Coturnix japonica: one gene and its partner. The protein of the gene in region 1 binds, or shares a complex with, the protein of each later gene. Links are inferred from orthologs where the notes say so. Each region holds a gene or a part of one and is shown in the gene's direction. Other genes may lie near its edges. The genes, in order: PLEKHM2 and ARL8B.

Region 1 (3,813 bases):
TTTTCCTGGGAGATGCAGAGGAGACGACTCTGAGATGGGTCACGTTGCACTCTGCTCTCCAGCAGTGTGGGAAGAGAAGCACCGTGCTTCCTCTTATAGGGAAAATTACAGGGGAAAGTTGTTAGGAAAGGGTGGGACCCCAACCCCCTCCCTTTGCATTGCAGAAGTCTGGGCAGGCAAAGATAAGTGATGTTCATAACGGCCTCTCACCATGCAGGTTAGCCAAGAAGAAGAAAACAGGCAAGAAGAAGAAAGCAAAGCCAGAGGAGCCAGTGAACACAGCTGTGCCCGCGGCGCCTGAGACCAGCACACATCAGAGCAGTGGAGACAGCGATGTGAACGGGCTGAGTGACAGAGGAGACATACAGAGGGACGATGATCCCACTGCCCCAGCTGGGGAGCCGAGCCCGGGCGGGCAGGAGGAGGGACACGAGCGCTCTGCCCTCAGCCAGCTGGCTTTGCACATCCCCGAAATGAAGGACACGTCCATGGAGAGCGTGGGGCAGCCGCTGAGCAAGGTGATGGACAGGCTGAATGGGCAGCTGGACCCTGGTGGTTGGAGCGCACCCCTCGAGCCGCCCAGGCAGTCCTTTCGGACCGGCACGCCAGGGGAGAGCCCAGATGGATCGTCCTCTGGCGACTTTAGCGACGGGATTTCAGCCCCCATGGACTTCTACCGCTTTACCGTCGAGAGTCCAAATGCTGCTGCACCAGGTGGTGGCCACCATGACGCTCCAGGGCCTGGCCAACAGACACATGTTTCTGGTAGCCCTGAGGCTTCTAAAGAAGAAGAAGAAAGCAGAGAGGGAGAAGCAGTTGGGGCAGTAGAAGAGTCTGAAGGAGTGAGCAGTGAACCTCAGACTGCCCAGATGGAGAACATCAATCCTGAGGCTGTTGGTGAGACAAAGAAGGAGCAGCCCAGCCCTTCCTTGAGCAGCGCTGAGGATTCTGGTGTGGAGGAAGGTCAGGGCAGCCCTTCTGAGCTCACCCACCCCTCAGAGTTCAGGTGAGGCTGGGTCTGCTCAGCTCAGCATACAGAGTTTATGTGAGCACAGAGTGTGTCTTCCAAAAGTAAAGAGCTGCTGGTACTCAAGCTGATACTTTTCCATTTGTCCTCCATTTGTGGGGCAAAGCCCATCCTTCTCCAGGATGAAAGTGATGCTTAGGGATTCACAAGAAGGTCTTGTGGGCCAGCAGGTGCCCTAATCACACACAGACTCACTCAGGAAGGTGACTGGGCAGCCCCATGTCTTTGTCCATCCTTCAGCCTCTTCTGTCTGTCCTTGCAGGGTGGACAACAACCATCTGCTCCTGCTGATGATCCACGTATTTCGGGAGAACGAGGAACAGTTGTTCAGGGTAAGACAGTCATAGGCTGGGCACACAAATCAGTCTGCAAAGAGGCCACCTCTGTCTGCGTTGGCCATGGGCTGAGAGCTCTCCTCCTTCCACACAGATGATCCGGATGAGCACCGGGCACATGGAGGGGAACCTGCAGCTGGTCTATGTCCTGCTGACAGATTGCTACGTGTACCTGATCCGGAAAGGTACCCCAACAGCTCCTGCTACAACTCTCAGTTTAGTCAGGACAGCCTGTTGGAGGTCTGGGAGCTGGGGGAGGTGATGGCTTGATCCATGGCTTGCTCAGTGACTGGGGCATAGTGATTAGGGCATCGTAGCTCATCAGTGTTTGCCAGTTCCTTCATGCTTCCAAGAGCAGTGGCAACAGCAGCAGTGAGATCAGGTTGATATGCCCCTTTAGGAGCCTTAGGACCTGTGCCCTGTAGCTCTTTGCTCCTGGAACTTGGCTTCTCTTGCTGGTTCCGGGCAGTGACAGGTTCCTTTGCCCCCCTTCATGCAGCTCTTTGTCTCTGTGCCAGGGGCAGCAGAGAAGCCGTACATGGTGGAAGAGGCCGTTTCCTATAATGAGCTCGACTACATTTCGGTGAGTGCTGTCTCGGGAGGGGGCAGGAGGCAGCTTGGAGGTTATCTTCACCTCTTTGGCTGCAGGGATGGCAGCAGCAGCACAGTGGGATGTTTCTGTGGGGCTCTTTGTCCACGAGGGGCATTTTGGACTGTGAATCTTTGAGACAGAGAGAGTTAGAAGCATTGCTCTCCAGTGCCACCTCTAGTGGTGCTTGGCTTGCTGTCTCTGCATGGGCAGCAGAGCGTCTGCTGACCTCCCCGGGAGTCAGGATGCCAGGCTCAGCCCTGCTCCACCACCCTTTGTCCTCTGTCTTGCTTCCTTACCCAGTCATGTGTGACACAGGTTGGGCTGGATCAGCAGACGGTGACGCTGGTGTGCACCAATCGGAGGAAGCAGTTCCTGCTCGACACTGCAGACGTGGCTCTCACAGAGTAAGTGGGCACCGTCAGCACTCCGTGTTATCAAAAGTCCTTTGGTCAGTGGAGGGACCCTTGGATGTCAGGGCAGGTGAAGCTGACAAAGGGCTGCCACCGTAGCTGCGTCTCCCTCTCAGGTTCTTCTTGGTCTCCTTGAAGTCAGCCATGATTAAGGGGTGCCGGGAGCCCCCGTACCCCAGTGTCCTCACAGATGCCACCATGGAGAAACTGGCACTTGCAAAATTTGTGGCTCAGGAGTCCAAGTGTGAGGTGAGTTCTGACATGGCTGCCATGGCTGCGTGTGACGGAGCATCACACCGGACACCGTCCTGTTCACATCTCTGCCCATCCCACAGGCCTGTGATGTGGTGGTGCGTTTCTATGGCCTCGTACACTGGGAGGACCCCATGGATGAGGCGCTGGGACCTTCTCCCAGTAGCTACAGTTCTGCTGAGAACGCAGTCACCAAGGATGGCATTCTGCACTACAAGGCGGGCACCTCGTACCTGGGCAAGGAGCAGTGGAAGACCTGCTTCGTGGTGCTCAGGTGGGTCTGGGAGAAGATCTCTGATCGGTTTTATTGTGCTGCTGTCTGGGAGATGAGGGGGCCCATCACCACGTGGGAGGCTGAGATAAAGCCCCTGTTGTGGCTGCCAGCAGCAGCACAACCCCCCAGGGCTGCATGCACAGGGCTGGGCAGGAGTGTGAGCAAAGCCAGGGTGTGTTTGTGTGGCTGGCAGAGCTGAGCTGGCTCCACTGACCATCTCCTCTTTCCAAATGGCAGCAATGGGATCTTGTACCAGTACCCCGACCGCACGGATGTCACACCTCTGCTCTCCATCAACATGGGGTAAGGATGTCATCCCAGCTGGGAACACGGGGCAGAGTGATGAAGGCACAGTGAGGGCGGGTGGGGGCAGGGCTTGTTGTCGTCGGGGCGGTGCTGCCGGTCCATCCTGATCTCCCTCCTCTCTCCCAGCGGTGAGCAGTGCGGGGGATGCCGGCGCTCCAACACCACCGACCGGCCCCACTCCTTCCAGGTGATCCTGACAGACCGGCCCTCCCTGGAGCTGAGTGCTGACAACGAGGAGGACATGGCCGACTGGATGCAGTACTTCTGCCAGGCTGTCTCCAAAGGGGTGAGCTGCAAAGGGTGAACGGATCCCTCCTGAGCCCCTTTGGTTCCAACCTCCACGGTCCCTTCCATGATGTTTCCCAAAGAGAGGGATAGGAAGTGATGTTTTAGGGCAGTTCCCTTCACCAGAAGCCTGTGGCACCCATGGAGGTGGGGCTCCTTCATTCCAGGATCCATCTCCCCTTCCCCACCCGCTCCATGCAGGTCATCCCTCAGGGTGTAGCCCCCACGCCGTGTGTCCCGTGCTGCCTGGTGCTGACAGACAACAAGGCCTTCACCTGCCATGAGGATTGCCAGACCAGCTTCTTCCGCTCGCTGGGCACGGTGGAGCTGAC
Region 2 (3,684 bases), on another chromosome or scaffold:
GGTCACAGTTGAAAGTTCACTGGGTTTGTTCTCACTATTATCAGCTGATCTTGTACTTGCTTTTGTACAAAAGAGGTTTTGGGCTTTTTTCCCTGTAACTGGGTCAGTCTTTCTTCTCAGCTTGGCTTACTACTGCGTATCTTATTCCACTGGATTTAATAGTCTGGTGTAGACTGCTTGTTGCTTTCCTAAAATAAACAAAACAACAGAAACAAAGCTGAAATTGTTTCTGCTTTGAATTTCAGGTTCTAGTACTTGGAAACAAGAGAGACCTTCCTAATGCTTTGGATGAGAAACAGCTAATCGAGAAGATGTAAGTCTAACCCTTCTGAAGAGATTACTCATAAATGAATTCATGTAGGTAAGGGTGTTAGTTGAAGAAGCTTTCTGTTTATAAGTGGAAAGCACAGTAACAAGTAGCTGAAACGTTGTACAGAAACAAGTTCCATGATGGAGTGGAAAGAGATTTTCAATGTAGAATGCTTGATAAAACGGAAGTGTGTGTTTTAACTTTATCTCTTTTGTAGGAACCTTGCTGCTATTCAGGACAGAGAAATCTGCTGCTACTCAATTTCTTGCAAAGAAAAAGATAATATAGGTAACTATTAACCTAAAACTGCATGCATAAGAAGAGCTTTATGCTTTGGACTGTAGGGCTAAATTAACTTTGTTACCATCAGGTTAGAAGAGGCAGCAAGGGCTGTCAGACTGGCTTGAATAATGGCGATGTTTATCTGAATGTAATTATGTCAGCAAGACAAAGATATCACTTGAAGTCTTTCTTAGGGTTGTGGTTGACTGAGGAACCCAAATCTCTGCAGCGCCTCCAAATGTTGCTTGCAAGGCTCTGGGCTTTTACTGGACTAGAACATAAACAGCAGACTTTCAGTTTTGTTAATCTGCCTTGGACCATCTCTAGAGAAGGGCTGCCTCTGTATTAGGGGCTCTGGGCATACCAAGGTGATGCTGGTTATGCAAATACAAATCACTTGAATATGGAACACTTTTTCTCTCTTCAGATATCACGCTTCAGTGGCTTATTCAGCATTCAAAGTCTAGAAGAAGCTGAAGTCTTCCTGGAATCTCCAGTACCAGTTGGCCATAATCTCAATTGTCCACTTCCCTCCATAATGAGATATAACCCAAAAATCCTGTATCAAGAATCTGCCTTTTCACAGTTCATTTCTCATGTGCACTGCTGAAGACTTGTATTCCTATTATGTCACAAAACAACTAGAGTTGTCATAAAGTCAGCACAAATATTTATTTTACAACCATCTATGGTGGGAGGGTTGTGGGGGGGCTTTTTAAGAAAAAAAAATCTACCATGTTAACTATGATGGTACACTCTGTTCTGGTTTTTCAGGGCCAGGTTTTTATATGATTTTCAGCAAGTGTTTTATTTCTAGTGTTTAGTGGCTTGAAGATGCTGATGCTTGACAGCATTAAGATTCTGTAAGATGCCACATACAGTAGTTAGAAAACATTTAAACGTGAGTTGTGGGATAGTTTATCTCACAAATGCATGTGATGTGTGTATGTTAGCAGAGAAATGGATCCTGTTTGCAGAGGGGAGCAAAAGACATAGCTCAGCATCACTAATCTACAGCTGGGATCTTATCCTATCACTTAAAAGGAAAAAGAAAAACTTATGATGAATTAGGAGAGTCAACTGCTTAAATTCATTTTGTTGCTTATGTTTAACATTTGTCTGGGGAATGGGAATGGACTGTTCTGTCAAGCTTTCAAAAACCGGAGTATTCCAGCATGACAACAAATTGCTTGGTTCAAACACACTTTTCTGTCTTCTGATTCTAGTGATCTCTATCCGAAAGCAGAACACACGTTCTGAGCGGCTGCATGACACTTAAATTACTGATGTTTTTGTATAGAGTCAGTTGTTGACCTTTAGCACAATATCTATGTAATTGTCCGGTGTCTCCTGCTCATGAAATAGCTGGGCACAGTTTCACCTGGTGCTATGAAACATCTCAGCTATTGTGACAACTCTAGAGCTGCCTGCTTTCTTGATGTAACCATGTGCAAAGTCTGTAAGTGGCAAGGTGAAATGTTCAACTGTGTCAAAGCACAAGAGAGCCAACGAATCGATCCTATTTCTTGACTAGCTTCTACAGTGTAGGGAAGTATATACAAACTGAAGATTGTAATGTTTTTGTAGCTTTACTTTCTCAATGACTTCAATATATTTAAAGGGACAGACTCGTTAAGACTGGTTTGTTCATACAGTAATGTCAGTGTAGCTTGCTAGTGTATACAAATACATGGTACACCTGCTTGCATTGCCTCACACTGTGTGTGATTCTTCCTTACCTGAATGTGGAGTTTGCGTTACTTTAGAGTCTTTGGTTGAAGACGCTGTTTTGTCCGTATCAATAATGAAAAATCAGTTTTACTTTAGACTACCATGGCCTTACTGTTCCATACCAGCTGTTGCACAGACACTACGTGCTGCCTGCGTTTGGTCTGAACTTGCATTTAACTTCTTGTCCCCTTTCGGTTCTCTGAAGTGTGATTTCAGTTAATTCATCATCTGGTGCTGTAGAGGAGAGGGTATATTAACTTGCTACTGTAGTCCTTAGTTCACTGTGAACTGCTACAGTTACCTTTATCTATCAAACTTGCTTGTGCCTAAAATATGGAAACTAAACTAGAATGTGTGAATCTTTGTGGGGGACCAGGTCACTGTTTAGCTAACTGGCCTATAGGTAAACTTGATGTGTTTGGTGTTTATATACTTCACTGCTTTCAGTATTTATGGCATCCAAACACTACCAACTGTTAACCTGTGCATTACTCTCTGCATGTGAACAACTTATACAATTACTGAACTTTGTAAATACGTGGATTTTTTTATTTAGGTGGATGCATATGTTGGTTTACTGCTCTTCAGCTTAATTCAATAAACTTCTGTTTTGAGGGTTGTATTGACGCTTAACCGACTGACTGGAGTTGATGCGTTTAACTCATGGCACTGCGGGCTTGTTTGCTCTCTGATTAAAATTAAATGGGCAAAGAGGTGCAGTAGAAATACCTGAGCTTCCTCATCTTCTGTGGTTGCACTACTAAAGTGAAATGCTTACAGAACTATCTTTCAGGCCCGAGGCTTTCTCAGCTTACATAAACAGGCTTAACTAGAGTTGATCTCGGCCGTCCTCAGTGCTTTTTTGCCTTGTGAAAAGGACTTGCTGATCAGCTGAAGGGTCGTAAGCAGGTCAGCCTCCTGGAGTTGTGTTTTTAGAGATAAAAAATACTCATATCTAAAATCTTGTTTCTTGTTCTCTGAACTAGTTGTGGCTTTTCTAGCACAAGTATCAGATCTAGCAGTGTCTGATTGTTTATTACCAATTAAAGTGTCACGTTTTGTATCTCACTGGAAGGTGAGGCTTTCATTGACTGCGGTTTCCAACAAAATGCCTTTTTTTTTGTCCATATTTGAATCTGTGCTGACTCTTGATCTCCAGCACTGATCCATTAATTTCTCTTAGATGGCTGATGAACCTGGAGGATGGTGTGCCGACATCTTTCCAGTAATGGTAACAAATTAAATGACTTCTGTGTGCTCCACCTCCATATAAGCCTTTGCATTTCCTGAGCTGCAGTGAGCTGGTTCTTAGCTCTGAGTATTGGTCATTCAGCAACTTTGGCTTGTGGAAAGGGCTGAGA

The links.
Region 2: the proteins of PLEKHM2 (region 1) and ARL8B are in contact, whole or in part, in a crystal structure (PDB 8JCA), measured with the Homo sapiens proteins. The link is inferred for Coturnix japonica from reciprocal best matches to the Homo sapiens genes PLEKHM2 and ARL8B. Residues at the interface, in NP_055979.2 of Homo sapiens: His70, Phe71, Thr72, Arg73, Arg74, Glu75, Glu103, Ser105, Glu107, Ser108, Tyr109, Arg111, Leu112, Glu115, Glu147, Phe148; in NP_060654.1 of Homo sapiens: Glu22, Thr52, Val53, Gly54, Phe55, Asn56, Met57, Lys68, Trp70, Arg77, Phe78, Arg84, Tyr85, Arg87, Gly88, Val89.

Annotation. Positions count from the first base shown.
Region 1 is NC_029536.1:3,639,409-3,643,221, forward strand, and holds part of PLEKHM2 (pleckstrin homology domain-containing family M member 2), read left to right. Parts: intron 1-217; coding exon 218-1,006; intron 1,007-1,289; coding exon 1,290-1,359; intron 1,360-1,456; coding exon 1,457-1,547; intron 1,548-1,880; coding exon 1,881-1,945; intron 1,946-2,269; coding exon 2,270-2,358; intron 2,359-2,480; coding exon 2,481-2,613; intron 2,614-2,699; coding exon 2,700-2,890; intron 2,891-3,127; coding exon 3,128-3,193; intron 3,194-3,322; coding exon 3,323-3,482; intron 3,483-3,682; coding exon 3,683-3,813. UniProt on the Homo sapiens protein: Plays a role in lysosomes movement and localization at the cell periphery acting as an effector of ARL8B.
Region 2 is NC_029527.1:15,966,460-15,970,143, forward strand, and holds the end of ARL8B (ADP-ribosylation factor-like protein 8B), read left to right. Parts: intron 1-245; coding exon 246-313; intron 314-527; coding exon 528-598; intron 599-1,019; coding exon 1,020-1,069; 3' UTR 1,070-2,960; downstream 2,961-3,684. UniProt on the Homo sapiens protein: Small GTPase which cycles between active GTP-bound and inactive GDP-bound states.